Linked DNA regions of Daphnia pulex. The protein of the gene in region 1 interacts with the protein of each later gene in a biochemical or structural test. Links are inferred from orthologs where the notes say so. Each region holds a gene or a part of one and is shown in the gene's direction. Other genes may lie near its edges. The genes, in order: DNA repair protein XRCC1-like and uncharacterized protein F21D5.5-like.

Evidence for each region.
Region 2: the proteins of DNA repair protein XRCC1-like (region 1) and uncharacterized protein F21D5.5-like form a complex in vitro, tested with the Homo sapiens proteins (3 studies listed by BioGRID and IntAct, with this or other methods). The link is inferred for Daphnia pulex from reciprocal best matches to the Homo sapiens genes XRCC1 and PNKP.

The regions. Positions count from the first base shown.
Region 1 is NC_060028.1:2,107,705-2,123,847, forward strand, and holds DNA repair protein XRCC1-like, read left to right. Parts: upstream 1-8,675; 5' UTR 8,676-8,795; coding exon 8,796-8,846; intron 8,847-9,127; coding exon 9,128-9,325; intron 9,326-9,386; coding exon 9,387-9,619; intron 9,620-9,688; coding exon 9,689-9,825; intron 9,826-9,885; coding exon 9,886-10,286; intron 10,287-10,358; coding exon 10,359-10,534; intron 10,535-10,603; coding exon 10,604-10,717; intron 10,718-10,786; coding exon 10,787-11,053; intron 11,054-11,118; coding exon 11,119-11,256; intron 11,257-11,319; coding exon 11,320-11,395; exon of another isoform or gene 11,396-11,468; coding exon 11,469-11,582; 3' UTR 11,583-11,607; downstream 11,608-16,143. Other genes in the region: dopamine D2-like receptor, read right to left, coding at 607-1,470; acid phosphatase type 7-like, read right to left, coding at 11,641-11,826, 11,895-12,066, 12,127-12,754, 12,818-13,021, 13,100-13,238; uncharacterized protein LOC124209391, read left to right, coding at 15,068-15,085, 15,180-15,232, 15,354-15,795. UniProt on the Homo sapiens protein: Scaffold protein involved in DNA single-strand break repair by mediating the assembly of DNA break repair protein complexes. Negatively regulates ADP-ribosyltransferase activity of PARP1 during base-excision repair in order to prevent excessive PARP1 activity.
Region 2 is NC_060020.1:4,604,512-4,620,732, reverse strand, and holds uncharacterized protein F21D5.5-like, read left to right. Parts: upstream 1-5,351; 5' UTR 5,352-5,362; coding exon 5,363-5,597; intron 5,598-5,660; coding exon 5,661-6,076; intron 6,077-6,135; coding exon 6,136-6,453; intron 6,454-6,520; coding exon 6,521-6,799; intron 6,800-7,438; coding exon 7,439-7,726; intron 7,727-7,993; coding exon 7,994-8,055; intron 8,056-8,122; coding exon 8,123-8,246; 3' UTR 8,247-8,276; downstream 8,277-16,221. Other genes in the region: oxidative stress-induced growth inhibitor 1-like, read left to right, coding at 10,532-10,658, 10,739-10,902, 10,984-11,154, 11,619-11,957, 12,083-12,373, 12,437-12,910; syntaxin-16-like, read right to left, coding at 13,630-13,839, 13,923-14,149, 14,427-14,595, 14,659-14,907, 14,966-15,046. UniProt on the Homo sapiens protein: Plays a key role in the repair of DNA damage, functioning as part of both the non-homologous end-joining (NHEJ) and base excision repair (BER) pathways.

The DNA.
Region 1 (16,143 bases):
CTGGGTTGACAAAACAAAAAAGAGAAGACGAAGAAATCTATACAAAATAAAAGGCCTGGACTGCTGCTGGATTTGATGTACTCTATAAACTGCGTTGGCCGCAACAGGCTGTGCTCTTGTGCAGGCACGCGCCCGTCTCAGCATTTCCCTATATATAATATATACATCAGCTATATAGACGCTCTGCTGTTCTTACTTCGCCGTTGCATGGCAACGAACCGAATAACTCGGCTGATCATTAAATAAATATGAAAAGAAAAAAGGGACTCTATATGTACATAATTATATACAGAATATAAGAAGCGCATATAACCTTTTCGCCGCGTGTTATCGATATTGATATAACTAGGGCAGGTCGTAAAATGTCGATATACATCGCCGGCCCGGTATATTATATAGAAAGTTCAATTACATTCAATAAATATAAGCGAATAATATTATATATCTATATAAAACTCGAAATTGTGTATATGGCTATAATAAAAGTGCGTTCGACTGAACACAAAGTGACAACATAAATGGGCCAGCCAATCGGCCATTTTGTTTCGATGCGGTATAGATAAATTATTACAAATATATAGGATGGATAAGTTTATTGAGGCTTACCGTGACGTAAACGGCGAACGGCATGACCAGAGTGGCGACCAGCAAATCGGCGATGGCCAAACTGATGATAAAGTAGTTGGTTGCCGTCTGGAGGGCTCTCTCGCGGTAGACGCTCAGGATGACCAGAACGTTGCCGAACACGGTCAAAAGTGGGAACAGGAAGAGCAGGAGAGCCCAAAAGTTTTTGGCTTCCATGTCGTCGTCGATGGACGTCCCGTTGATGCCCGTCCCGTTGTTATTGTTGTTGTCCCACATCAATCCGTCGTCGGCCCCCTGGCAATTCCGGCCGCCAACTGCTGACGCCGTTCCGTTCAAAAATGAGCAGCCGGCCGTGCTAATGTTCAGGTACGGATCTCGCCAGGTGGTTGTGCTGTTGATCAGCTCCGTGATGGAGCCAACCCAGCTGCTGTTGCGATTGCTGGCCGGCCGTCCGTCCGTCTCTGGCCGGCTGTGAACCAACGTCCAATCGGAGCCCAGCGTCGTTGATGAATTGATGAGGCTGTTGCCGCTGTAGTACGTGTCCTGGGCCGTCTTTTGAGACGAGTAGCCCGTGCTGGAGCGGCCCATCATGGCCGAGCGTCCGGCGACGGTGGGCCGTACTAGCCGCAAAGCGCTCCGCTTGGTATTGAATCCCAAAGAGCCGCTAATGCTGGTGGAGGCCTGCTGGCCGTCGGCCGACGACGGCGGCGGTTTATTGGCCGCCGTCACGCCCCGCACGACGTAGCCTTGAATCCTGGCCAATTTGGCCGAGTAGCGCTTGGTGATGATGCTGGACGCCGTCGTCACCGGCACGACGGCCGACGTCGCCGTGCTGCTGTCCGTCAACGCAGCCGCCGCCGCCATCACCGTCGACACCGCCTCCATTTTTATTATCAAATCACTTTTTTAATATTTATATCCAATTATTGCCCACGAATCAAATCAAAATAAAAAACCCCGCCCAATAAAAAACTAAAAAACAAAAAAATTAAATTGAAACGATTTTTGTGATGAAATTTGTCGGAAATTTTGATTGGTCGCCTATTAAACGGCTGCAGGAGCACTCGGCGCGTCTTTCAAGTCATCGGTGGTTGTTGTTGCTGCTGATGCGACGAGTTGTCGACTGAAATCTCGTGCGATCTCGTCGCCGTTAAACGGAGCTGGAGCCAGCAGCAACTGGCGAGCGATCGAACTCATCTCAGCAGCATCATCTAATATTATATTTCTCGGGAGCGCCAGCATCAAATGTATAGAAGCGATTGATCCTGTCCTGTCCTGCTGCGTGGCCCCCAGCAGCGCTCAAACTCTATGCAAAGATTGTCGGTTATCAAACCTAATACATCGCACACACACAGCACACATCACACACAGCGCACACAGCAGCACACATCCATATTTCGAACCGAATTTCCAGCACACCACTTTTCTTTCTCTTTCCCCACAGGTTGAAAATGAACACTCTCTCTTCCTTTTTCACCCGAAAATTCGATTTGGGTTCAATTTCGAATGCAAAAATAATCAAAACTAATCGACCAAAAAATAAATTTTAAAATGAAAAAATAAAAATAAATTTTGACACGACTATATCGACACTCTGTGCTGATGACGAACGAATATAATAGAGAAATAGCGCGCGGTATATAATCAGAGACGGTGTAAACCGACTGCACTTGGGACACGACCGACACTGAGTCCTTTATCTTGTGCCATCGCCAACCCAGTCCGTTTTTTTCTGCTGCTGCTGGGGGCGTCCGTGCTGCGCTGTTTCCTTTGGGCACTGCTGGGCGCTGGGCTGATGGGCTGGGCGGATGCTCCGTAGTGCAGTGCGTCTATAGTCTTTGATACCGTGCACAGTATAGTTATACACATATACCTTTTGGCTGCGCTGTGCTGGCGCTGTGGAAAAGGACGACACACATGCGCAACACACATCACCATCGCGCACACAGCAGCACATAGCCAGAATGTTTTCGAGATGCATCATCGCGCGACTATAACAACTACTAGAGAAAGAGAGAGAGACATATTGTACACAAGGGAGCGCTGCTCACATCAGTCCATCAGCGACACAACTATGCAACGGTGTGCTGCTCTGTGTACATATCATCATTTTATTTTTTAAAAAAATATATAAAATAAGTGCTCTTTACATCGATATAACACTGTTACCTGAGTTATACTTAATATGTCTTGTGTTTGACTTGTATATCGTTGTGTATATATAGTCCATGTATATAACAGGATTCATCTGGATGATGCTGGATTCAACTCGGTTGTGGGCAACTTTCAATAAACGATATTAAAGCATCACGTTGTTCGCTGCTATTTAGCCCGAATAATATATATAGGGCTGCTGGCTGTTAGATGCATTTGTATATTTAAAGGATCAGCCCCCAATCATCAAAATATTTGATACTTTTTGAAGCTCGTATATAATAGGCCGGTTATTCGCTAATATGTATGTATGTAATACTATCATTTTTCAAATGGCGGATCATCGATTTCAGTATACCTATATAGTATAAATGATTACAGAAAATCGACTGATGTAGGCCTACTACGTGAGTATATATAATCTGCTGCTGGCGGACTATAGAAAATCTATATCTGATTCAGCCATCCGAGTCTTTTCAATTAGCTATTATTGGCTGCTGCCGGTGTGTTGTGTGTGCTGCTGGCGCGATGATGATGAACGATGAATCAAAGCAACAATTGTCGAACGTTGTGGGTGGGCTACATACACCGCTGCTGCTGCGGGTTGTCCTATCCTATCCAAAAGGTGTGTGGGTGTGGTCTGGAGTAAAAAAAAAAAGCCTCAAGTGCCGGCGTTTGTCACGCGGCCTATCTATATTATATGCTGTATAGAGCTGACGCTGCTGTAGTAAGCGCTATAGTAATAGTACTCGTGTGTTATGTACCACGCAAAGGGACGAGGTGTACCGACGAGAGCGTATATAATAGTGCTGGGAAAAAGGGCTGAAACAAAACGCGAATGCAAGGGGGGAGAGGTTTGTGTCTAATGAAATGTGGCTGTGCCCGTTTTTGTTTGTTTTTTTTTCTCTCGCCCGGCTTACACACATCTACGTAGATATAACCGACCCCATCAAAGGACTTAAGCCCCCACCCACAGCACTATATACAGCAGATAAATACTCTAGATATATACAGCAGCAGCAGCAGCGTGTAAAAGACCTTATATTATTATATCCCTTACGGAAAAATCTCATTAAAACTCATAAAGAAATACATGAGAATAACCTTAATTCTCATTCATTTTGTCGTGATATTTTGGTGAGATTAACAGCAAAATATCATTTATTTGATGACTTTTGATGAGAATTTGGGACATTTTCAAGTTTAAAATCAGCCGTTAATCATTAATTTCATGTGAACAAAGGGAGAATTATGTTATTTCTCATCTAAATATAAATGATTAGTCGCGTAAACATAATGATTTCTGACTGAGGGTTTACTGTAATCTCGCTTAATTTCTCTTTTTCCACAAAAATGTTAATGATTTTCTCACTAAAATTTGAATGAGAATTTGAGCGCTTTTAAATGAGATTTTAATTATATAAATTGAAAAAAGAATTGCCCTGACCAGGAATCGAACCTCGACTTCCAGGGTGGCTTGCCAATCTGCTAACCACTACACTACCAATTGATATTATGATAGAAGCTTTTTAACGTAGAAATTAATAAATTGGTTAGTTTAGTGATATAACAACAGGGTTATGGGACTTAGAATAATTTACATAAAAAACACATACTAGAGTCAAATAGAAATTGCACTCAAATTTACTTAGCGCGTGAAAAAACTTAGTAAAAATTTCTATGATGCGTTTTGACATACCATATAATCAATTGGTTAGTTTAGTTAGATAAAAGCCAGATTTCGGGACTTAGAATAATTCACACACAAAAAAACACACCAGAGTAAAATAGAACTTTCACTCAAATTTACTTAGCGCGTTAAAAAAAATAGTTATCCCAGCCTATCTTGTGATTATAAAAACATCGTGTAATTTTTGTGAGAATTAGATAGCTACCATATATTTACGAAAGGTATAAAATAAAAAATGTAAAAGTTCAAAAAGAATTTAAAGTCAGAATATTTCATTCCAGGTAGGCCTATATAATTATTTGCTGATTTTAACTGATATTTTAAGGATTGTATTAAAAGAATACAAGAAAATATTTTGATGTCATATATGTAGAAATTTTCCCTTGATTTTTCACACATCATTACAAAACATAAGAAAATATTGACGATTAAATAGTTATAATTTCACATCTGATCTGTTGAATTGTAGCTGATTATTACTGTCTTTTTGTTATGAATTTGAAGATTTTAAAGCCCAAAATTGGGTAAAAATAATACCAAAAAAATCTTTTGATTCCTTACTGGGAACTGATTTTCACATGATTTAATGAAAAATCTCACTATAAAGCATTAGAGAAATGATTGATAAAAAGCTCTTAATAAATGATAATATGCAAAATAATTATAATTAAATATCATGATCTCACACCTAAATCTACTTGATTTCTGATAGACATTTAATAATAAATTTCGTGATTTTTTTAAAAGCCAAAAAACTGTATAAAAGAAAACCAAAAAAATCTTATAATGTCATAGGTAAAATTGATTTTCACATGATTTTATACAAGTATCTCAACACAAAACATCAATAGAAATTAATGATTGATAACTCAGAATATGATAAAATATTGATTTATTATAAGAATATATCATGATATTCCCGCTTAATAATCACTGTTTTTTTGCAGATTTTTCATGCGAAAAAACTGTGGAAAAATCATGAGATTTTATTGATTTTCACATGAATTTATACAAGTATCTCATTACAAAATACCAATAGAAATTAATGATTAAAAACTCAGAATTTATGACAAATTACTTACTGATTTTAAGAAAATATCATGATATTCCTGCTTAATAATCACTGATTTTTTGCAGATCTTTTATGCGAAAAAACTGCGGGAAAATCATGACATTTTATTGATTTCCACATGATTTTATACAAGTATCTCATTACAAAATACCAATTGAAATTAATGATTAAAAACTGAGAATACATGATATATTACTGATTTATTTTAAGAAAATATCATGATATTTATGGTTATTTATCACCAGTTTCTTGCATATTTCTCATGCGAAAAGTCTGTGGTAAAATCATGAAATTTATATGATTTCTTTCTGATTTCTGGGTTATATCTCATATAAAATGAGACAAAAATATTTTAAACACTTTTAATGATAAATATGAGGGTGAAAATTCTCATCAATTTAATGAGAAATATATGAGATCATCAAAAATTATTAAAAAATCATTGATGTCATTAATAAACATATGATTTCTCATATAGTTTGATGAGATTTTTCCGTAAGGGATTCTCCAAAGCGTTAACTTTTCTATCTTGCTGCGTGAATTATGTATATGATGCGCCCATCAGCGCAGCACAACTTTATTCTAGAAAATGTTACATCACGGGCCGTGGACCGATTTGATATTAACACAACATTACATCCTGTGTTTTACCCCGAAAGTTTATTCGCGTTCGCTATAAGTGTTGCGCACCACGCGCATATTAAAACGAGTGTTATACAGCCACACATGAACCTGCTATGTGTTGCGTGAAATGGGACAATTAATTATAGCCTACACACGACAGTCTCTTTTTAATAGTAAAGAAGATTAGATAATTATGTATAGCACGACGTAAATAAAATGCCACGAACATATAATTATATAGAAATATAATATAAAGGGAATGAAATGATTTGTTGAGCACCGCGGCGCACATGCATGCTGTGCGGCCTCGAGCGATTTGAAAGTATATAAAATGGCACTTTTGCCAAACCTAAATAAAAAAAACCAAACTTTTCCAATCTAGTATACGAACATTCAGTTATATAGCTATATAGCCGTATTTACATATATATACATACGGTGCTTGTATAAGTTCATGTTATATCATGCCACTTTCTTATATAGATCTTTGCTGAGTGCAAGAAAGCGCCTCTGTGCTGCTGGGAAAGTTCAGATTCGTCTACCAATAAGTTTCGTTCGAGCAAAGCCTCGACGTATTTTCCCCCCTGCAGACGTATAATAAACAAGTATCTTGTATAGTGTGTCGTCTGATGATACTTTGAACGTATAGTACCAAAACAATACTTTTGAGACTGTATATTATCACCGACATAAAGGCGCGGTGCATTTCTGGTAAGAGAAGTATAGTTGACAGTGCTTGTAGCAGAAGCTCATTAAAGCGCCCTATTCATGGTCTATATATACTGTCTATATTCATGCTGGGACAAGGAAAACTCTAGACACACACAGAGTCTCAATGGGTTGGAAAAAGAGAGATGGGATATATATTATAGACGCGTGAGCATAATATCTAGAGATCTCTTCATCATTTTACTTTGTATGACAACGAAGCCCCACATAGAATATTAGATAGATTGCCGGGATATTTATCGACACCAAGCAACGATGAACAAAGTTTTAGACTATACACCATGCATATAGCCTATATAGACGGTAGGTGCTGCTGATTGTGTCTTTGTTGTATTTTGGGGGGGGGGAATCTTAGGAATAATACAAGAGGAAACAAAATAGAATGGAGAATGAAATAGAAAGAGACTATAAGAAATTGAAGTGGCTCGTACATAGGTATACAAAGCTGCCGGAAGCCTAATACATATATATTGTACATGAAATGTGTGTGTATATGCCTGCAGTGAGTGCAGTTTATATAATATAGCCTGTGTATTTATACATGTAGTCAGCAGGATCGAGGAGAGTTAAAAGAAAAGTTTTTTCGGAAGGGAAATCTAAAAAATACATTCCTTAATATTCTCTGTGCGCAACCTCGATTCTTTGGCTGTATAGCGAAATAAGACATATATAGGAGAAATTAAAAGCCTATACTATATATATAATGTAGCCATGTTCATCCTTGGAAAGAGCTGGGTTGCTTGCTGCTGCGTGGGCCTTGTAAATACAATATAAAGAAGGGAGGAAAAGAGCGTGGAGGTGTCAATACTACTAACGCCGGAAAATGTTCCAGTTGATACTGGGCGATGCTGTGGCTGTTTTATTTTTTTTGTTTTTTCTGGGGAATCACCTATTAATAAAGGCGAGACGTAATATGGTTTTCTTCTCCTCGGCTTTTCTTTCGGTATCCAAGGAGCGAGAAACGGTCGAATTAGAAAAAAAAACAAATTAAAAATATCACTTGCACAAAATGCTTTGCACTCTGGCTGTTGACGTTGTCCTTGTAATATAAACTTCGTTGTCGGAGTACCACGTTGATAAATTAATGCGCCAGCTAAGCCGTAATAGAAATTAAATGAGCTAAAATCGATGACATCCCTCCCCCTTCTCTCCAGCATCATGAATGGTTAAGAGAAAAGAAAATAATAAATTTAGTGGACATTAATCAATTTGGTAGTTTAAACATTGAACCGCCAGAACGTATATATTTCCAGTTGGAATTGAAATTGACTTAAACGTTTAATGTGTAGATTTTATTTGCAGACTTATTTTTATTCATTTCTGTTGTCGTAAAAGATTGATCTCTGCTGATGTCGATGAGTTATTGTCGGTTTATTTTCGACTTGTCATCAGGCATCAGTAATAATAAATAAAAGGATAACCTAAAATAGGCCATTATCCACTATAGGACGCTGTTAACCTTTTTAAAAAAGACCAGCGTAGAAAAAAAACCCAGCGATTTTTGTTTGGATTCTGAATCTGGTGTTGTGTTCAATGCATATTGAATACGCGCGCTGAATGCATTTTACAATGTCCGTTTGCAAGCCAACGCGCTCTGTTGGCGGGTTTTTTAAACAGGACCCAGGAGCAGCCGACTTTCCATATATAATAAAAATAAAATGTAGGGAAAATTGAATGATCACAACTTTTAAAATGGGGGAATAAATTATTATTCTAATAAAATCTGAATCGCTCAGGGTGCGACGACTCAGAATAAGAAATCTTCCAAATTATTCAGGCCGTCTTCTAGCCCCAAAGCCGCCAGAGAATAAAACGTATAGTGCAGCTGCAAACATTGGACAAATCAACTTCCGACGATACACGTGCCAAGTTAAAAAGTCGTTGAAATTTGTATTCCAGTTTTGATTTTCTTAACATTTGTTCAGCGTCGTTGTTTTGTCTATGGCGCCCATAAAATTTACTCGTGTTGTGAGTTTCAGTAGCGAAGATCCGGTATGTTAACAAAATTGTGATTTTCATTGTATAAAGTCGCAAGTGATAGTTGTTTTGACGTTTGGTTTATCGAACCAGGGTGATTTTCACAAATTACTCTTGACACTTCTACTGCTATTTTGGTGAACTTAGTATTCCATAGTTGTGACTGGCAGTATAGAAATCTATTTAATTTCAACGATGAAGACTTTCACTAGAAGAAGATAAAATAGTCACAACGATTCTTACAATTTGCACAACTCTGTGCACTATGGAAAATGATAAAGATTTTTTTTTTACAGAATCAGCCAACAGAAAACCTCATTAAAGATGGAGTGTACAGGAAATGGAGGTGCAAATCTGCTGGAGAGCAGAAAGCGTGGGTTGAATTTCAGTTAGAGAAAACATCCTTCATTTCAGCTGTTGACATAGGAAACCATGGTTCTGCATTCATTGAAATTTTAGTTGGTAGAAGTGGTTGTTCCGATGAAGACTACAAGGTAGACATTACACTTTAAAATAATTGTATTATTTAATGTAAAAGTTGTACACATGTATTAGGTTCTTTTGAATTCAGCCTCTTTTATGACACCTCAAGAGTGTCGAAACGAAACAAATCTCCAGCGTGTACGGATTTTCAAACACCAAGATTTGAACAAGGCCACCCAAGCTGAAAAATGGGATCGCGTTCGGGTTGTTTGCACTCAACCGTTCAACAAACAGCTTCAGTATGGAATTTCCTTCCTTACAGTTCATGCTCCAGAAGAAGAGTCAGCTAATAAAACCAACAATAAGTAAGCCACAAATATTGCCACATGTCATACCAATAATGTATCCTATTAAATGAATCTTAATCACCTTAGTGCTAGCGTGAAAGCAGCAAACAGCATAGATCTTGGCATGTTTAAACTTAGGTCCGAAGAATCAATTGTTGACCCCATCAAACAAGGCAGTTTGTTCTCTCGGTTCAAGTCGTCGATCAGCACCTCGCCCAGCACTCGTAATTATTGCTGTCTAATTTGTTTTCATACCATGATAATGATTTTTTTTATTTAAATAGAGCCTGGTGCAATCCGTGCTGCATCTCAAAGTCTTGCCTCTGCTGCCCTAGCACAGAGTGAGAAAGAGGCCTTGACCATTTTGAGACACTCCCCTAACAAGGACGGCAGCAGACCAGATATCAAATTGACAGATAAGCTTAAAACGTTGCAGACTCGAAGTCCCACAGTATCTAAAACACCTACTGCTGCCAAAGTCGATCAACATTCGCCATTACCTAGTCGCAAGCAAGTGGAATCTGATCGGCCGAGACCAGTTGCGCCGCCCATCACTCCACCAGCTAAAAAATCGTTGAGTAAAAAAATGCAAGAAAGCAAACCAAGACATTCCCCCCTTCATGAATCGAAGAGAGTTGAAGGACCAGTTAAAAGGAAAACACCACCACCTTCTCCATCAGTTGACGTATAAACATTTATAATTCAACCTTTCAAATTATGAGTCGTACTATCACATCTTTTGAATGCCGATCTATAGACGCAGCGCTTAGCGAAAAAGCAACGGACGACCAAACCTTTTAATCGCCTATTGGAAGGCGTCGTGGTGGTCCTTAGTGGTTTTCAAAATCCTTTACGGGGTCAACTGCGAGATAAACTGCTGGCCTTAGGTGCCACCTATAAACCGGAATGGAACGCGTCTTGTACGCATTTGATGTATATTTTACAAAACAAATTTTTGACGTAGAGTCATGCGCTTATTATTCTTTATTCATTTGATTATAGATGTGCCTTTTACAACACACCAAAGTTCATTGAAGTTAAGGGTAAAGGCAAAATAGTTACCAAAAATTGGGTTCAAGATTGTTTCGACAAACGAAAAAGATTACCATGGAGACGGTAAAAATCATTACCAATGTGGTTTATTTTTCTATCGCTTGGATTGTAATAATTTGTCTTTTTAAATAGTTATTGTTTAGATAAAAATGACAGAGGAGAAGAAAGCGAAGAAGAAATTTGGGAAGGAGAGGACCAGGGGCCGACATGTCCGACCCCTACACCCCAAACCAGTAAAGCAGCAACTGTAGTACCCCAATCGCCAACTGTAGCAGCCAGTTGTAAGCCTACCACTGTGGTGGCGAGTCCTAAAACTAGTGTCGTCAAGGACGAAGAAGAAGAAGACTACGGCGGGTCGACTGAAGTTGACGAAGTCGACACGGAAGATGAAATCGATATGTAGGCTCATCTCACACACTCTTTTCGAATTTATAATGGCTAACGCACATAATTGTTTGAAATAGGATCAAGAAGAAAATTAAAGAACAACAGCAGACTTTGGAAGATTCAAACATTTACGCTAATTTGAACTTTTATCTGGGCAAAGATTTGTCCGAAGAAGTGAAAGAGGACCTAACGCTCTATATAAAAGAATGTCAAGGGTACTACCATTAATTAAATTTCTTATGTTCCTTTTTGACAAATAACGTATTTTTCTCAAACAGTAAATTAGTGCCGAAAATTAAATCAAAGGTTTCTCACTTTATATCCGACGATCCTGACGATGATTCAGTCGCCAAGGTAAATGCAGTTTATTTATTCTGTTCATAAAAGATTACTAAAGTCGGGTCTTGGATTATTCATTATTTTTAAGGCGCTGTCGAAAAACCAAGACATGAAAATTGTCAAAAGTGATTGGATACGGACATGCAGAAAAAATAACAAATTAGTTGCTCTCGATGAATTCTTGGTGCAACAAACGAAATGAATAATAAAGGTATTTTAAAACAGAACGATGTCTTCGTTTATGCTAATGAGGAGTTAAACTATACGAGATCTTTGATTAACCAAAAATCGTCAATCACCAGACCGTTTTGATCATCGGACACTTGTTCCAAATGTAAATGAGTTTTGTTTGCGAGAAATAATCGGGAATAACCGTAGTCGTTGCTGCGAAAGGCCGACCAATAGGGTAATTCTGGAATAAAGTCATCCCGTTCTTCTCGACAACCCTGAAATTTTAATATTTTTGATAAATGCGGTGTGCAAAGTTAAATATTTTCCAGCATATCTCTCCTACCGCTGATCCAGTTGTCACGTGAACTGGAGCTTTAGGGTTAGTATAGGGATGCTCCAAGCTTCCATTCATTACCGTACGGTTGAATATGGGCCAAAGTCGTTCGTACGAGTGCTCGTGAGCCCACAAGGCCAGGTCAACTCCATACTTGTAGAGGAGCGGCTCCAAAGCGAACCTATAAAAACACTACATTATTTAGAATTATTATTTGACATGATAGCACGCATTCGATTACCAGTGAAACAAAGGGAGCCCGACCCGAGTAAGAGTATCTTTCTTTGTACAGTCGTCTTGATCTGTATTTGAGCAATACATTGGACGATGGCCCATTACTATTATCCACGGTCGGACGCTAAGATTTTCAGGAGCGTTGGCCTCTTCTAGATCGCGAATCAGCCAATCGTACTGTAAAACGATCTGCTTAAAACCGTAGTTGATGAAATAGTAAAATTCGGTCGAGATGGAAATAATATGCGCTGGTCCAAGGTTAAAACTGTACATTAATCCATTTTCGCTTCCCGGCATAGAGAATCGCGCTTTGTAATGGCTGAAGTTGTACTTCTCTTCGTGATTTCCGACCGAGGTCATGTAAGGAACGTACGCGGCAATCGGTTCGATTTGACGCATAAATCGGTCGCCGAGTTGTCCGTCTTCTTCATACAAATCGTATCCGAAATCGCCAACGTGGAATATAGCATCGTAGCGCCCTTCTTGCGACTCTTTTTGCAGGCGCGAAAGTGACTGAGGATTTTCCGAGCCCATATCGCCGTACACAGCAAGTCTTGGGGACCAGTCGGTTGAATTTTCCACCGTAACGAAACTGAACAAATTGGACCACCCCAGACGACTCCCACATCGATAAACTAATGAAAGAAAAACATTTGAAAACTGCTTAACCTAAGAGATATGGAAAATCCGAAGATTACAGTATTTTTGTTTAGGCGACAACCCTGAGAGCTTCACTCTGTGTACAAATTGTTTCCGCTTTGCCAGCCCTCCATTGATAAACTCAGTTGCACTCCCTGTGGCTGTTTCTGTTAAACGATTCTCAACAATTCCATATTCCACAACACTTGTTTCATTTGTACTGTTGATGGTGTTCCATGTAACAATGAGATCAACAGGTTCATCTAATTCAAATTTCAGTGATTATTTGAAAAAATTGTACATAGGCACATAGCACAAAATGTTCATAATCATGTCTATACCTGAGAAAGATAAATGAATTTGTTGTGGTTGGACATCATAATAAATGTGGGTGGTATCAATCTGTAAAGCAGTGGTTAACAAAACATTGGACAGAATGGATATTTTAATTAAAAAATGCATTTCTTTTATGTTCATCATGCAAAACTGAGTGATTCAGGTGATTCAGGTGTAGGCTATAGTACTTTTTACAGCAGTAAGTCGAAAGAACTTCAAACAACACGAACGAAATTGTTAAATACTGCGCAAATTCTTGCTCTTAGTCACCTCTGAAACTTTTAGTTCGCAAAGTCAAAAAATAACCCATAAAGGAATGAGCAGCATTGAACACTATTTTTTAAACATTTAACACAGAGGTTTCGTGACAGGCACCTGTCTTTTGTTTACTAAACATGTACACCCTCTTGTGGTAAATATAGGAACTTCAATCCTTTAAAACGCCCGCCATGAACCATGAAACATGATACTGTACTCTTTTACATTACAGGTCATCTTGATTAATAAAATTGCCAAGGAAATGGAATGGAAGACTTGAACCATAATAAGATAATATGATATGCATTTTTGGAAATAAAGTGTTATGAAACGTTATACCTCGTCTTGAAATCACGTACTTTTTTCGTTGATGCCTGATGGAACAAATCTGTGGCAACATTAATGTTGCCTACCGAACTATAACATGTTCGTAACGGTCTATATGATGTCTAATCACAGGAGGGAAACATAAAAAGTTACCAATACATAGTTCATCATCCTATGAAGCGTTAATAACCAATAAAATAAACAGGGAAAATAAGCAAATGTTGAAAAATTACTCCTCTAGGTCTATCTTACCAGTGAAACCCTAACTAAATCATCAACTAGACAATCAGAAGAAAGTGCGTGACGCTCTAAATTCACTCATTACATATTATTAAAATGTAATGCCGGCTGAGGTAAGCCTGGCTAGCTCAGTCGGTAGAGCATGAGACTCTTAATCTCAGGGTCGTGGGTTCGAGCCCCACGTTGGGCGAAATTTATTTTTAGAAATCACGCTTCACCTAAATAGTTTACCCCCCATTAGGTGAAAATAAGTTTCCTTCATAGTTCATATAGGCCTAATGTAAAAGATTCCATGAACTCTATGTTAAGAAATCAATTTTCAATCATTTCAATCAAATATATTTTTTTAAGTTGTAGGCCTATTCATTACAATTCATTATAATAGAGTTATTCAATACATTTAATGTCACAGAAAATATTTTTTTATCAATATACAGCATAATGATAGAATATGCGAGTTATATTGCGGTACTTGACATTAAACCGGATGTGCTGGGGATTCCTCTCACAGTGGCCCTTCTGGCACCTTCGAAACTCTTATTATATTTTCTTCTTTGGAACCAGGTATAAAGTTTTAGGGCGACCTGACCTACCTTTTTTTTTGATTCTCAGGTATACATTGAAATTCTTTTCACATGTCTGACCTTGTTTCTAGACGTTTAAAAAAGTGAAAGTATAAACCCTATAGACCTAGAATATTTCAAGGCTGAGGAATTAAGTTTAAATTGTATATTTGGAATTGCATTAAACGGAAATGCACAACAGGACCAATACTTATACTATTACAGAAGCATCATTTAGCTCAATTTTTCCGCTGACGGCTTCCTTATTTATCTGAATTCTGTTGACAATTTTAAATCCCGTGAAATCTGTTTTGATAGAAGCAGCAATAATCTGATATTTTCATATGATTTACTTGACCTATTTTCCGATTCGCACACAGGCTTTCTCCTATACGTGTCTGGAACACGACAACAAAATTTGAGTTGAAGGTCGTCAGGATCAAGAAACTTGGCTTGGTAACCAGCCTACGTCAACAGTATATAAGGTCGAGGTAGTTTCCATTTTGGCATCAAGCTGCCAATAGCGTTCAATCAGGAACAACGTCCAATTTCCGCTACTCTCCTTTTTACATCCATACAAAGAAAATGAATACCTTTAAAGTAGTAAGTACATTTTTAAAGCCAACATTTATTTCGTGCATTATTTTTCTTTTTATACGGGTGCACATTAATTGTTATTATGAAATTCTGTATACAGATGATTGTCGTGTGCTCTGTTATGGCAGCGGTATGTTCAGGCCAATATACCCAGTAAGTCATTTTTATGTTCTACAAATCCAAAATCCAAATTCATTTGTGCTGGCTGTAAATTTGAATAAAAATATTTGCATTCGTGTATACTGATCCTTACATTCGTTGTCTAATTTTGTAGATCTGGTAAGCCAAATAGTTGGATGAACCAACCGGCAAGCAGTCCCTTGGTTCCCAACACAACTGGCCCGGAAGATGCGTCTGCTTCCAGCATCGGTTCTCCTGTTGCTCCTGCTGCTCCATCGGCTCCAACTCACATCAATTTCCCTGCCAGCGCCTTCCCTACCATTTCTCAACACCTCTGCACTTGCACAGCCGTCTCCGAGTCTACTGCCGCTGGTATGATCGAAAAATACCAGCAACCTTCCAGCACTTCATCCTCCGCAGTTGAACAACAGTCAGCTCCTGCTGCCCAGCAATCCTTCTCCCAGCAGCAACAGGCTCCTGCTCAAAGTGCTGGCTCTTATTTGACCACTGCTGCCCCTATTGAACAAGGCCCCAGTGCTTCTGACCAATTTGTTAAGCCCGCCTATGCCATGAGCAACAAGGTCACTGGGTACTAAAATATTTTCAGACTGCCTCTAGACTTCAATAAACTTTAAACGCGTTTGAAAAAATATCGTATCTTGAATTTTTGAATCAATGCCAGCTCTTTCACGCAGGTTCTATACTGTCGACAAATACTTCGAAAAAAGACTGACGGTTTATAATGGAAATTTCGTAGCTACGTTCTGTTTTTAAATGTACGCATAACTATAGACAGATGAAAACAAAATCAGTAATAAATTCAAAAATGATGGAAGTATAGTATCACCATTTTAAAAAATTAAAGTGGAAAACATAATGCTGCGATACGCTGCGATAACGGTAGTGAAATTTAAATGAAAAATCTATCAGCGAAAAATATTAAC
Region 2 (16,221 bases), on another chromosome or scaffold:
TGTTGTTGCTTTTTTGTTTATTTATTTTTTCTTCTGTCTGTTCGAACATGTTTGATGTATATAATGTAGACGCACAACCGCAAACTCATCTCTCTCTCTCTCGGCTGTTTCTCTTTTTATTCTTCTTCTTCTGTTGTTTTTTTTCGCTCACGCATCACGCGCAGTCGTTCATAAAGCACACGAAAGCCGCAAATCTCTCACGCTGCCTCGCGCGCTCAAACCAAGTCGACATTTTACCGACGACGACGTCGGGGTGGCACTTTTTTTTTCTTCTCTTTCGTGAACATCAAATTCGGCCGATTTTTTGGGGAGGTTTTTCTTTTGTTTTTTGTTTTTTTCAATCATATATCTGTCGTCCTCGGAGTACAACTTTCTACTGGCGAGAGAATAAGAATCCGGCGAGCGACTTTGACGGATATTTATCGACACCCTCCTCCCACTCACCTTCTGCGTCATTTCGTGTTTTCCCTTCATAATCAACCAACAAGTTTTATATATCTGAAGAGAGGAATAAAAATAGTATATAGGGAAATGAGAAAATACATTTCAAGTCCGAAAAAGAAAAAGAAAGAAAAAAAAGGCAAAACTTGAAAATAGAATAGGTTGATTAACATTTGATCCTCACACAAGTCTTGTTACGTTTTATGGCAGCAATTTTCTTCCATTTAATAACGCTTGATGGAAGGCGTTTATTTACGGGCTCGTCGGCCTTGGTGCCCGGCGACAGCCAGCAGAGAGAGAGAGAGAGAAACAAGTAAAAAACGAATGAGAAAGATGGAAGTTATATAACACAAAAAGGAGCTATAGACGGCGAGAGAGAGAGAGAAATTCGTGCATGTTGTATATATCTAGCGCTAGCGTAGATATGTAGTATTGAATTCAATCTTCGTGGCGATAATAATTCACCTGCGCTGTACACATCCTTCGGTGTCTACAAAGTTTGGCCTTAATTTAACCAACCGCGGCCGTTCTTCTTCTCCGAAAAGGCGATGTATAGCACAGCACTCGCCTATCCCTCCTCCCCCTTTTGGCCTTTCTCTCTCTTACACACAGGACGTAGACAGCCAGAAAATGCAAAGACAGGCGCATTATCCTCTTCTCTGCTTCTATAATTAACCGGCATTCATCATTTGGAGTTGTTCGGGAGAGAGAAAAAAAAAAATAAAAAGCTATCATAGACGCACGGCACACGGCAGAAGAACCCCCCTCCTCACGGATGGCGGCCTGCCCCCTCCCGAAAAATTTGTGTACAGGCCCTCTCGTCCGCTTTTCTTTCTTAAAAAAACACATTTCAAACTGGCGCCTTTTTTTTCTTACCTTTTATTAGTTCAAAAAAGAGAACACATCCCGACTTCATTTCGACCGAGAGAAAAAGAAAAATCCCGGACCCGACACATCCCTCCTCGCTGGCCGCCCCCCTTTTAATTCTTTCTCCTTCGCCCAACTGTTCCACACACACAGCCTCATATTAGATATACGACTGTTGAGCTAGCTAGCTGCCAGAGGCCTTTTCTTAATCATCATCATCACCTGGTCCGTCCGCTCTCTGCTGTGTGTAGACACACACACATATACTACCCGGCCCTTGTATTTATACATATTACCTTTCGGTTTTCCACAATCATCTTGAGCACGGCGCTGCTGCCTCTCCGCTTTGGCCCAGGATCGCTAATCAGACCAATGGAGAGACAGCGGTCGTCACGCTGTGAATTATTGTACGGATCCACCTCTCTGTCTGTTCTGTTCTGTTCTGTTCTGCGCTGTAGGGAGACTTTGTCTAGCGCACAATTTCCAACCGCTAATCAGGTTTTCTTCCTTTTTATTTGTCTTCATCTCTCGCTGCTGGCCTGGCCCGCGTTCGGCTTCTCAATGTGTTAAAGGGGGGACTACCGTAAAAGGCGAAAAGGAATCAAAAAGAAGTTTGTTTTTTTTTCTTTCAAAACAGCGCCACGTCATCACGCGACTAGACGCAATCGACCACGAGAAATAACGACGAGCTGTTGGGACGGTCGGGAAGAAAAACGACAAAGACAAAGCAACTGGACGGTGTTGGAATATAATAACGCCACCACCTCCCTTATTCATATTTGGAATGAGCCCACCGCTTTATCAGTTGTGCGGATGTGTTCTATCTAATGATGCGCTCAATTGTCCATCAAACCAACTTGACAAATCTTTTGCGCCGTAAATGTGGATTGATTTCTTTCTCTTTGTCGTCGTTTGTTGTTGTTGCGGTCGAGCTGGAAATCACCGAATGCTGACAGTTTATTCGCACCTTTTCTTCGACTCGCACCGCAGCCATCAACCGGTCAGTCGCTTCTCCTTTTTGTTTAGTTTGGGCTGCTTCTTTGCTGCTGCTGCTGCTGTTGTTTCGCTTCTGTTGATGATGAGCTGCTGCTTCTGCTCCCGCTGTTGCCCGAAAAGTAAAAAAAAAGCTTCTCCTCCAAAGAGTCGTAAATAAATCAAGGAGCATTCAAAGTACGGCCTGCGCGCTTCATTTATAACTGTTTTTTCCCTTGTTCTTTTTATGTTCTTTTTCTTTCTTCCCTCCTTGTTTTTTTTCTTTTTTTATTATTATTCTCCGATGTATTTATATATTATTTATTGTTTTCCTCTTTTATTTTCTAGGAGGATTTCTTATTTCTTTTTTTTTTCCTATATGCATATAGATATGCGCGTGATGGTACGTATGTATATAGTATAGGCTATTTGCTATTTGAAAAGAAATAATCATCCAAGTCAAGAAATTGCGGTTGGACGAATAAATGCCGGGGCTTTTAGCCTCTGGGATGATTGTCGGGACAGGCCAAAAAAAGAGTCTTCCATCCTCTCTCCTTATTCTCGCCCGAATTTGCATTTCGACGTATTTCATCTATAAATATCTATACGTACACACAAGACACACACACACGTCTTTTTACGACTGCCGGATAGAAACGCGGAGGCTCCTCATTGAACTCGCCACAGAAAACTTCTTCTCTCAAAACAAATTTCTCTTTCCTTGTGTCTATCGGCTGGAAATATCTGGCGCGATGACGCCCGACGAAAATTTCACTTGATGTATTTTGATGGAAAGACGAAATGAAGGGAGACTGCTGGCCAGAGAGAAATAAAGAAAAAAAAAGAGAATTAGGGATATCCAATAATAAACAAAAATGGAAAAAAAGAGATAGAGCTAAGAATTGGTTGGGGCATATATAAATGCCATACAGGCAGCAGCCGAGCATTGACTATTAGAAATAAAGGCAGCTAGGAGCCAGCAGGAGCGGCTGTGAATGGTGGTGGTGGTGGTATATACACCAGTGGTGTTGGTGGGGCGCTATCAGAACGATAAACGCCCGATAAATCGACGGAATAGCAGCTGATGCTTTCGAGGATCATTGGGCATCGCACGGGGCCACATGACATCTACCGGCTCCCATCCATAAGTCATTGGATTTTTAATCAACTTGGTCGGGCCGGAGTTGGAGCTGGAGAGTGAGAGAGGGGAGAAAAACAAAAATATCATCATAATAAAGAATATTCGGGAGAAGAAACTGAGGGGGGAAAGATGAAGAGATGGGGGATGAAGAAGAAGGAAGAAAGGAGAGTTCACCACTGGAGAGAGAAAACTGTTGTGTGTGTTTCTCAATCTCATTCTGTATGGTGTATATACGACTCAGCCTCTCCGCCGTTGGTTCGTTAGCCAAACGACGACCAAATGAGCAGGGCCAAACTCAATTAACACCTTCCGTGTCAGACCGCTATGACTGTGTCTGTGTCTGCGTGAGCCGCCCTATCTAATATGAGATTCGTCCCAACAGTTCGATGGGTCTGTCTCAGAGTGTCTAATGGACGTGCATCTCGCACAGAGAGAGTGTAGTACATGCTGGCGGCGGCGGCGGTGGCGGCGGCGGCGGAGAGCTTTCCATCTCCAAACTTTATAGAGCTGATTCTCAAATGCTCGATGCAGCATATCCTCTACACTTCTTTTCTGTCTCGTCCAATTAAGAACAACATCTCCAACAATATGCGCCATCGTCTCTAAATCTTCTTCATCGCCATCTTCTACAAATGTTTTTTTGTTTTGTTTTTTAATTCATCAAATTCTTTTTTTCGTTTTTTGTTAGCTTTTTGTTCTTCTCTGATGCCATTTGGTTTGTTTTTTTTTACAACCCGAACGACGATGGATACAGGGCAGGGTTTATATTTTGAGTCGAATTATTTTCGTTTTTTCATTTTTATTTCCCGACGTTTAATCGAGACAGGAGGAAAAGAATGGCAGGAGGAAAGTTGGAACATTTTTTGTGTTCGGATGAGAGCGATATTGGGCGCAGGTGTTTTGCCTATTTTTGTTTTATTGGTCGATAGTTTAGTGGGGCGCGGTCAATTCATCAACGTGCCTCAAGGTGCGGGAAACCTTCTCCCCCCCCCCTCTCCTTCCACCTCCATCAATATTATGAAAACGCAACGGCTATAAAAATGGAGGCAGAGATGATGTGACGTGCACGTTCGCTGCTGCTGCTGCTGCCCTGCCAGCGGTCGATGTCGGCCGTCTCACCATTATACAGCCCGCCGAGAAAACGGGAAAAAAAAGAGAGAGAAAGAAGAAGAGGAGAGAAACAGTCGTAAAGCAGTCTTCCAACGGCTCGTCCGACCAGGCCCATCACATTCATAATAATGTGGCACACACAGCATTTATATATATAGAAAAAAGGAAATGAAGGGAAAGAAAAAGAAGTAGAAAAAAGATAAGAGCGCCAACCAGCCAAAGACTCGTGCATGTGTCTGTGTTGCGTGTAGTATGTTGGGAGAAGAGTATAGTAGGGGGATCTTTTCGGGGCTGTGTGGGTCGAGAAGGGGGGGGACTGACTCAAAGAGCTGATGTTCCCATTATGTTTTGAGTTATTGCTGGATTGCCCGATACGAAAATTTGTTCGATACCAACACCCACCGCCACCGCCAAGTCTGCGGTCGGATGAGTAACATTCTCCACCCGACTGCTGCATGGTTTTGGCCTAGGGCTCGTCGCATTCGATCGTTTCATCGCCATCAATCCATACATACATTTGGGTTCTCCTGTTCTCTCTTTTTTTATTTTGCGATACAAAAAACCCAAAAAATAGAATATGCGCGCTTGTATTAACGACTCTTTTCTTTTTTCTCACTGTTTTATTTGGTTTCTTGTGATACTTGTGGTTAGGAAATTATTTACATTACAATGATCGCGGGAAATTTTTACGTTCACTCCCGTCAATTTAGGTTTCGAAAACGGTCGGGTCGCGCGCCGGCTTTTTCTTGAAAATCGACTACCCAACGCCATCTGTCAGTCGGAAAGGAACTACTTAACTGCCACCTGACGGATATAATATCAATTTCTTCAATGGTTAGCACATTTTCGTCTTTTCTTCCAATTTTAAAACGTCAACTAATTTCCATTTTGTTCATTCATTATCGGTTTTCATTAAAAGATTTCCTACAAGTGCTAATGTTTTCTTGTAAAATAGTGTCATGCGATCCGGATTACGTATCCATCCAGATTGAGCACTGTAAGCCTTTGGTGATTGGAAGAGGGCCCTTGACAAGGATTAAAGATCCGAGACTTTCTCGAAATCACGGTACTATTGCAATCCAAAACAAGTTCAAAACAAGATGCATTTCATTCAATTTTCAATTCACAGTCAAGCTGGTAGCAGACTGTGAAAAGGGGTTGCTGAGTGTTAAGCTGATTGGAGCCAATGCTTGCAAAGCTGGAACCTCAATACTAAAAGCTAAAGATGAATCTGTTCAGCTTAAACATGGAGAAATTATAGAGTTACTTGAAAAGCAATTTCCATTTCGTGTGGAATTTAGTCCAGATCCAAATCAAGTCCCGTCATCAGTAACAAGCTCATCAAGTTCTGAAGAAATAATGGTGGGGAAGCAGACAACTCTTAATAATTTTATAACAACAAAGAGGAAATCAACATCTGCTGAAGAAGATGTCCAAGACCCCAGTTTCTTGGCAAAAAAGCAGAAAATGGAAGATACATGGGAGGAGATTGACAATGGCAAACTGATTATATTCACAAGTGATGGAGTGCAGCACAAATCAAAAGTATTCAAATATATTTTAAGTCTTTCGAACTGTTTAATTATTTCTTTTTATTCATTTAGATTGCAGCCTTTGATTTGGATGGAACCATCATCACAACTCAATCTGGGAAAGTATTTCCAACAAATTGCCAAGACTGGAAGCTAAATTTCAGTCAGGTTCCTGGCAAACTTAAAAAATTAATAGAAGATGGATTTAAAATTGTTTTCATCACTAACCAAGCCGGATTAAGTAACGGAAAGCTCAAACCGTTAGATTTTCGAAAGAAACTCTGTGATATCCGTTCAAAGTTGGGAGTTCCAATCCAAGTTTTTATCTCATCCGGTTCGGGAAAATACAGGAAACCCTCTACCGGAATGTGGATATACCTTACAGATAAAGTGAAAACATATTTACTATCAGATGTATCTTAATATTTGGATCTGTAATATTTTCTGTTATTTGTAGGCAAACGGTTCCGTCCCAATTGAGCTGGAATCGTCTTTTTATTGCGGTGATGCAGCTGGGCGCGAGGCCAAATGGGCGCCAGGGAAGAAAAAGGATCATTCGTCTGTCGACCGTCTTTTAGCCATCAACGTCGGTTTGAAATTTTACACGCCCGAAGAATTTTTCTTGGGACACCGATCGGTTCCGCATAAACAACCAGATTTTGAACCCCGTAATGTGGACGCATCAGTTCCTCTTTTGGAACCTTCGGACGCCCCCCTGTTCCAGAAAAAGCAAGAAGTAAGGTATTCAATATAGAGTCAATAATGAAACAAATTCCCGTTGAAAAACATCATTTTTAAGAAATCACCTTTAATTTAGGGTGAGGGAAAGTTAATTACAAATCTCAACATAAACCTTGCCATTAACTTTCTTGAATCTCGAAGTGTAAGAATTTCGTCAATATTTACTGTTTGACATTAGGGACTAAATGATTTCGCCGACTATTTAAAAGTTCTAGCTAAGAAATTGATTAATCTTGTGTGTCATCTTGACGTTCGTGCTACACTGCTACACGTGCATATTTGTAAGTTTTCTTTGGCAGCGATTTGGGACGCGCAATTTATTTTTCCATTTACTATTTTTGCGTCACCTCTTAAGTATTCGATGAATGTGTTCTCGGGAACCGAACCGGGAGGTTCTAGTTCTTCATATTATTTTTATTGGTTTACTATTTTTTTCATTATCTTTTTTTTTTTTTTCTCAAGGATTTCTTTCTATTCAATTCTATTGAGTCTGAAATTGGTAAAGAGATGCAACGAAAGTCAATCATTTTTGGTTATAAGTGTAACTGATTCTTTAGTCCCGTTTTTCCCACGTTATCTTCACATGTTAGCAAAAAAGTTATTCGCAGTTGGACTGATTCTTATTTTTCGTTAGGTCATTCTACTGGTTGGGTTTCCGGGATCTGGCAAAAGTCATTTCGCAGAACAACACGCGCTTCAGTCAAGTTATGATGTTATCAACCGTGACTCCTTAGGCACTTGGCAGAAATGTGCAGCAGCCGTAGAAAAATGTCTCGACGCCGGTAAGAGTGTATTGATCGATAATACCAACCCGGATAAGGAATCACGTTCCCGTTTCGTTCGACTGGCTTCAACTAGAGGGCTACCTTGCCGCTGTTTTGTGATGAACACCACCATGACGCATGCCTTACATAACAACAAGGTAATTGAAAAATTTTGAATCAATCTTCTTCTTTCTCAGCCTTTCATTGATAACGTTAGTGTGCATGTACACAAATTGAGATCCTTATAGATAGCTTTATTGACTTTGCCTGTTCAAATTGCGACGTAAAATGCAAAGTCTTGAGAAATCTTAAAATCATCAGGAACTGTTTGCCATCTAAAACCTTGACTTAGTTAAATTTATCAATGAAAATCCTCTTACGTGACATTCGACACGCCCGATATTCAAAGAATTTTTTTCTCGCAGTTTCGAGAACTAACTGATGCGAAGCACGTCCCTGTTTCTCGAATGATCTTCAACGTACACAAGTAATTTTTAAAAATCTAAATATTCCAAACTGAGATAGCTCTATTGTTTGCTTTGACTCCGTTCAAGATCAAAGTACCAGGAACCAAGTTTAGACGAAGGATTCAGTCAAATTGTCCGTGTCAACTTCCAACCCAAGTTCCGTTCTGCCGAAGATGAGCGTCTTTACAAAATGTATCTTCTTGAAGATTAAGGATGTTTCTAGTAAATGGATTTTCATTAATGTCGGTATTACTATATATATATATATTTTCATTTCTCTGGAATTTTAATATCCTATAGTGCATGCCTAATCAATTCATGCAAAAAATGACTCGGCGTTTTGCTGCTCTCATTTCAGAGCAAAGAATTTGTTTAGTATAGGCCATTGAGAACTCTCCAAGTACGGTGTCAAATTGATTTTTTTAAGGATAACGCGAACGTGACGAACTCGCGCACAGTATTTCTGACGGCATGTAGATTTGTTCTGTCACTCGTAACTCAAAAGAATGTGCTCACGTGAACACCGCATGTTAAAAATGTTTTCAAGGTCAGTCGAAAACCGCTCGGAATTTATAAATTCAAAGGGATAAAATTGTTCAAGTGTCCTAAAAAGATTGTCCTTCCAGCGCGGATATGTCCGTCGATGTGAGTAATGATGTGCTAATATTACCGAATGTTTTGGCAATATTTTTACATTTTGCTGATACCACATGACTCGACGCTTTTATTCTGGTCGTCTGGCCATTAACATGTCCTAATCGTATGACGTACTTGGAGGCGGGTAATGTTTAGACGAGCCCTAACGATCGAGCCCAGGACAACGAGGGCTAGAAGGCCGGCGCCACTACAACCAGCCAATCACGCATCAGTCCGCGTCACCTGTCCTCCAGCCCGTCGCAACGTTTCCCATTGGGTTATTTTTTATTTACAACAAAATTTGGCCCTGCATCCACTTCATTGTGAGGCTAAGCGTTGTTTACTAAAAATATCCCCTAGTCCTTCATTTTTCAATACTGTGAACCCCAGTCAACACAAGCTCGCAACTTATCCAAGATTGCAATATTTATTTCCTGAAACGGCGCCAGGTGATCGGCCGCCACGACAGCAGAGCGGATGCGCCATCCTCAGACGCATTTAGGTTGAACTGTACTCAGCAGATGTCTCTAGCCAGAAAGCGGTAAAGGCAGACGCTATTTACGGCGCATGACAGTTCATTCTTCCCCGTTTTTTTGAGGTGCCACGAGCTCTCAGAATTAACTAAAGATCCCTTTTAAGGGAGTTTTGGCAGGCTATCGGATCCATGAAAGAATGTAGGCGGCAGAGTCGCCAAGGGCAATACAGCACACGAGCTACAACCACAGTCTACGTTACTACATTCGGTCGTAAACGTATACACTTCATACTCTTTTTTTCTTTTTTGAAAAGAAAGACTTATCTCGTTAAGGGAGGAGCCTGACGGTCCCGCCTTCACGATCCCCCTGTCTCCACATGTTCTCCCCTCTCGTACGAGTCTCCACCGGCTTCTAACACAGACACACTTGCCCGGTTTTTGGTGTGTTGCTGTTGCACTGTTTCCACTTTAAAACTGTAAAGACATTCGAAAGTTTCAACCAGTGATCCTTCTCTACTCGTGAAAGCAATACATCACAATCAAAATACTCGTGGATAAACCTCGAAAACAAAGGTAAGATAAGACTTTGGTTTACCCTTCCATTTCCTTTCTTCTAAGATGTGCATTTGCGATAGCATTATGTCTGTGGAAGACTTATGCAATGAAATGTATCGATTTTGCTCGACGACTGATGTTGATTCGATCTGCCCCGTTTTGCGGGAAAACTTATTTGAAATTAAATGCAGTCACGTTTACTTAAATAGGAGTCGGCAGGTTACTCTGCAGGTTACTCTTTCAACCTTCTCTTATTTCTAGAATATTCATTTCACACGGGCAATTATTTGTACATGGTTGAATGGGTTCATTTTCGAATCAGCTTCCGAAAATTGTTCTTTAAGCAAATATTGCAATGCCATGTTTTTAGTTTTTCTAATTTATTTTTTAAGTTTCCAGTTATTATTGTATTTTCATTTGATCCTAAGGGAAAACCTCTTTTAATTAATTGGGCAAATATCTGAGTTGAATTTCAATCAGTTAGTCTTCGATTTCCATGCATTTCAAGGAGAAAATTCAAAACTTTTATTTCAACATTCCCTTAATTCTATCCATATGTGACATTGTGTCTAAAAACCTTTTCCTGATTGCAACCGCCCTTTTACCGAGAGGTATCTGCGGGTAATTCCCTCCCTCGAGCGAAAGCTTCACTTGAAGGTCTTGTGTTAATCAAAGTGATGACCATCATATTTTCTGCACAGTTGCGGTGCGAATTAAGCCTTCGCTTTGCTCGACTAATGACGCTAATTCTTATCCTCCCATAATTGCTATCGATGGTTTATTAGAAAACACAATGCATTCTAACGATTTGTTCACCTAGCAACAGGACCATGCGCACCAAATCCATTCGCTGCCCATTAACGGGTTCAAGACGATCGCGCCAAGCAGTTGCGGATACTCGATCTGTCGATATCGAAACGTCAGTCAAGACCATAACCAAAGACGTTGTCGTCGTCGGTAATTTATTTCCAAACGTTTACTGATGTTCTAGCACAATGTGAATTCGTTGAATAAAAGCTGAGATAACCCTTTTCTAGGTAACGGACCTTCAGCTATTACTCTGTCTTATCTCTTGTCCGGCCATTGGCCCTATTATAAGGGCATGGACGAGATGGGGCATCCACCAGACTTTCTTCACTACAGATTGGAATCGAAACCCAACTGCCCGTTGGTTCTTCAAGATCTGAAAGAATTATCAGAAGTAAGAGATGAAGATTATTATTATTATTATTTTGTTTTTGGTTATGTAGTTCTCTGGTAACATTTCTATTTGGAACGCTAGGGACTGGAAGGGCGGTCGAGCAATCCGGTTGCTCTTTTATACGACATTCTGAATCACCCAGATGCAGACACAGGTCAAGATCTACCATCACTTCTTGCATGGAAGAACCATCCCGAGCATGCTCTCGATCACGTGGTTCTTGGCAGAGGTCCCCCGGGGGGATCGTGGCAGGTGCGTTTATCAATTTATCTCACTCCTTCCCTTTCTTAGATTGTAAAATAGCTTAGCAACACGTACGTTTAGATTTGAACCTTCAATTTTTTTCTCAATCTGAAAAATATTTCATCCATCTTGGACTTTAATGGTGCGTAGTTACCGTACGCCGATACGACAATAATCAAAATTATTATTATGTAATGGGCCTTGTTTGTTGTTTACACTTAAAAAATTGTTTACATGGAAACACATATGAGCGTTGGAGGAAATGCAATACTGTTTCGACCTTAGCCTTGATTCTGGTACAAGGACAAACCCTATAATTACTGTAGAAACTCATTTCTCTCGATTTCCTCTCGACTCTAGAAAAGAGAAACTATGGTATTGCCACAGGCATTATTGCATCAAGGCCGATCTTTTTTTAAAAAAACGTGTATGGCCGTTTTTTCATTGTATTTTTCCCCTATTTTTTTGTATAGGCAATGGAGGGAGACGTTTTGACTATCAGCAGAGGAACGTGGATGGAACTGGCTAACTTGAGCTTTCGAGAATGGGAAGAAAGTGTTTGCGATCGGCAACTTGGGAGTCGTCAGAAACGAGCCTCGGTTAAGAACGTGGCTCGATATTATCACGATTACGTTGATATCAAAGGATTGCGCCCCTACTTCCGCGACTCAGCGGAAGTCACTTCGGTTCGTCGTGTAGATCAATTAAAAAATGGCTCAAACGAGAACAATGATCGTGGACTTTGGCAAGTGACGGGTCACATCCGGACAGCTGAAGGACTGGAAGATTTTCAATATTTGACTCCAAACGTGGTATGTTCTGTTATAATCTACTTTATAATTATAAGTACGAGAGTGAAAATATCTGGCTATTGAATTAGCCAATTTCACTATTAGTTTTAGGAATGTTGATAATGATTTTCTATTTGAAATAATAGGTCTTAGCCATTGGTGGTTCTGATCGCCCTAATCGTATGAACGTGGCCGGTGAAAATCTGCCCTTTGTCGTCAAATCCTTACAAGCGATGGAACAACTTATTTCCAGTCAGCAATTGAACAGTCGGAGTGAACCGGTTCTCATTGTTGGGGCTGGCTTGTCTGCAGCGGATGCTATAATTGCCGCACACTTTCATGGAATTCCCATCATTCACGCGTTTCGACGCAAGGCTACCGATCCTAGCCTTATCTTTGGCCAGCTTCCTTCCAACATGTACCCTGAGTACCACAAGGTAATTTTTCTCAATTTCTGATTGAGTTGACATCATTTCATTTTTGATTTGTTTAATTATCAGGTCTATCAGATGATGAAAGACAACGGAATGACTTACTCAGGATACACTCCGATGGAGCAGAGCCAAGTGGTGCGTATTCAAAATGATGGAAAAGTCTGTCTGCAAGGACCAGAGTGCTCCACTCGAATCAAAGTTTCTTACGTCGTGGTATTAATAGGCTCTCGACCTAGTTTAAGTTTCCTTGAAAATAAAGGACGTGATTTAACGGTCGACGTGACCAAACCTATCTCATGTCGTAATAACCCGCTTGATGTCGATCTATTCACGCTCGAATCCACCAAGCAACCTGGGTTGTACGCTATGGGGCCCTTGGTCTCAGATAATTTTGTCCGTTTCGCCCAAGGAGGCGCCTTAGCTATCACGAGAGATATTCATTTGAAATCCTGTCCATTGGAGAGGAAAGAAGAAGTGTCAAATCCGCCCATCCTTCATGTCCCTCAAGAATCCGTCAACTACCTTGATTGCCCGGCGTGACGTTGATCGCCATTTAGTTTTACCGGGGGTATTAAAAGCGTTCCTAATATTGAACTTTTGCGAATCAAAGGCGCTTTTAGTCCCCTCATTTGTATCAGCGGTTATTGATACAATCTATTGTAAATATCACGAAACACGGTTTTCATCTTTGAGAAATAAGTCCGAATCACCACCCTATTACACCTCCACTTCAACGAGTGCTCTGCTAGTCTTCGTTGTGCCTTCTCCTCTCTCTAAACTTCGTTTTCTACTACTCTCATTTTTTAAGAAGCTTTCGTTGAGAAATTTGAATATCTATTGTTGATTTTCTTTATGAATTTACTGCTGATAAGTAGAGCTTATGTCTTAAATGGCATCGTTACGGTGCTATACGTTACGCGTGTCCTTACTGAAAACATTTCCAAAAGGAATTTGATTGTTTCCAGGACTATAGCTTTAGGGGTGCGAAACAAGAGCGGTTTTAACGTTCTGTAATTTGTTTTTGCATGTCAATACTAAGGACGACCAATGTGTTTTTGGCCCTAGTTGGTGACGAGAGGGGTAGCTAATATTGCGACTGTAATTGAAAATGTACACTTCATATTAAAGTTACAACACCTTAGAAAATTCAAGTGTTTTGAACTTGTAAAACATATACTATGCAGCATTTAAACACGTACATTTCCAGCAGTTCAATACACACATGGAAAACTTGAACAGAAATTAGATTTTCTATTTACTCAAGATTTAACAGCAATTAAAATAATGATTAGAAGGATGATGGTGGAAACCAAACCGACAATGCATACCATCTTCCGATTTTTCTTTTGATAATTATCAGCTTTTTGCAGATGAACCAAACCGTCGTGAACTTTAGCTTGTGTATGCTCAATATTGTAGTCTATTCTATCCAAAACGGTACCTTGATCCGCGACCATGTGAGAGATTTCCTGCAGATTTAAGAAAATGAACAAAAATAAGTTACACCATAATGAAATAATGTTGCAATGCTTCAAAGTGTCAAAGAAATTACTTTAAATATCGAATTCAGTTCGTATATCGAACGGACCACATTTTGAATTTCCTTCTCGCGCTGTTCAACGAAAGACGAATTTTCTTCCTGCAACATCAATTGCTGCTGGCTCATCACTCGCGGAGTTTCGGTTTGGCTGCTAGTATTGGTCCAGTCATCATAATTCCAATCCTTGGAGGAAGTTCCACCAAAAAATTGTTGAGAACGTTCCTCGCGTGATTTAATTTCTGTTGGGCAGTGGGCAAATAAGTATATACATGAATTTACATTTTTGTTACGAATTGGTTAATTGATTTTTAAACTATTATCTAGGTGCAACAAAATACAAATCAGAGATTTGAAACTACATTCTTGTGTGATAAAGAAATGAAGATGACTGATGAGTAATGATTACTTATCACTTAGAATAAGTAATATTGACATGATAAAAGTGCTGTGACTGGCTTTGACTGTGACTGGAATGTGCTATACTTTGTAAAAGAAATAAATGAATAAGAACTGAACTGTTCAGATATGCATTCTGGTCACTCCTGAAGGTGTTTGATAGATTTTGTAATGTTGTTACCAAAGATGTGACCACATTTTTGGCAAGATTTGCTTCTGCCTGCCCCAGACTAGGACTAGTACTATTGTACTGAATCCTTTTTATGCAATTGTGGCAGGTGGTAAACATCTTCAGAATAAACAAAGAAGGATTGAAGTTTTAAACAATTTAATTAATTCTAATCTGTAATACTTTGGTTATGTCTTGAGTAAAGGCATCAATCTGCTGCTCTTCATTCATCGAGTCATCAAATGTGGGCTTAAGAAGATGTTTGTTTTGAAGAGAGCTCAACTCTTTTAGTCGAGTTTGAATTTTTGTCAAGGTGTACTGAGCCTCTTCTAAGCTGTCTGTCCATTCTGGAGGAATCCTTACATGAGTGGCATGACTCTTGCCGTGAACATCTATTTCATGACGGACCAAGGAATCCGTGTCTGATATGCTCTAAAAGCAAACCATTACCAATTACCAGTAATTTCAAAAGTCAAAATGAGTCACTCACTTGTTCAGAGTAAAAATTGCGACTTTGAATAGCATTGTTACGCATCAGAATGAAAATTTCAGTGATACTTCGTGTTGCCATTTTCTATGTGAACTTTCAGTCGATATTGGGGTTGAATCATCGATATTAAGATGTACGTGATCTAAATTTTCACAAGAAAAATCTAAATCGTACACATCACAATTGAAAACATTGATTTGGATAATAGATATTGCACTGAAACTTTATTTTTTAAATGCCAGATTTTGATTTTGACAATTTTAAATCGATGGACTCGATCCTTGTACAGCTGATTTTGACATTTCGTGGCACATTTAGTATGAAGAAAAGTTTTGGTGTCATCAGCAGCCACTAGATGGAAGTAAAAGAGCGCGTGTTTTTTTTTTTTTTTTTTTAGTTTCAAACAATTCATTAATATTCACCATAGTATTAACTATTAAGCCATTCCTAGCACATTTCATGAAAATTTTTTATGTGAGAGTAAAGAAGTAGTAATGCTAACGCAAATGCCAGACAGCTATGTAATGGTTAAAGTAATTGCTATGGTATGCCATTGCTTATAGTAAAGTGAACATTACAAAGTTTATTATACCAATACGGCATCACTATTTTTGCATACAGTAGATTACGATGTAGGGTTTAAATGTTTAATCATTATAGACTTAGTGTTAGTGCAATCCGTAATTATAACGCAGACGCAGGTGTAGGCTACAGTGAGCATGTATTGACTCCCGTCGTCCGTGGATGCTTAGGGCTGTCACCAGGTGGCTAAATATTTCAGTGTGTTTAGGGATTTTTTCTCCAAGTAGGAATACAGCCTTTTAAGGTCTGAGCCTCTCAGTCCCACATGCACACGAAGTTGTTGCTGTTGCAGACAGCTGGCAGGTGGTTTTCTTTACTTGCAGGTTTGTTTGCTACCTGTACAGCTTGTAGCTTTCGTCACATGCAGCAACACTTCAGAAGAGTTTAAAATAATAAAGTTGATCTGCTTTTTACGGTAAGGATACTCATTTACTAGTTAACATGTAGTTTTTTTGCTTGAAATCTGTTGACTTAAAGGTTAAAAACATTTTAAAAGTATGCCAATTGTTGATTCCTGTGTAATGTAACAGTAATTCCTAGAGATTACTTAGCTAAACCATGCTTCTGTCATTTTGTTCATGTCACACATGACTTTATTTTCTGATAGCAATTGATTTTTCTCCTAATAGGAATACAGCCTCTTCAGGTCTGAGCCTCTCAGCCCAATGTGCTCA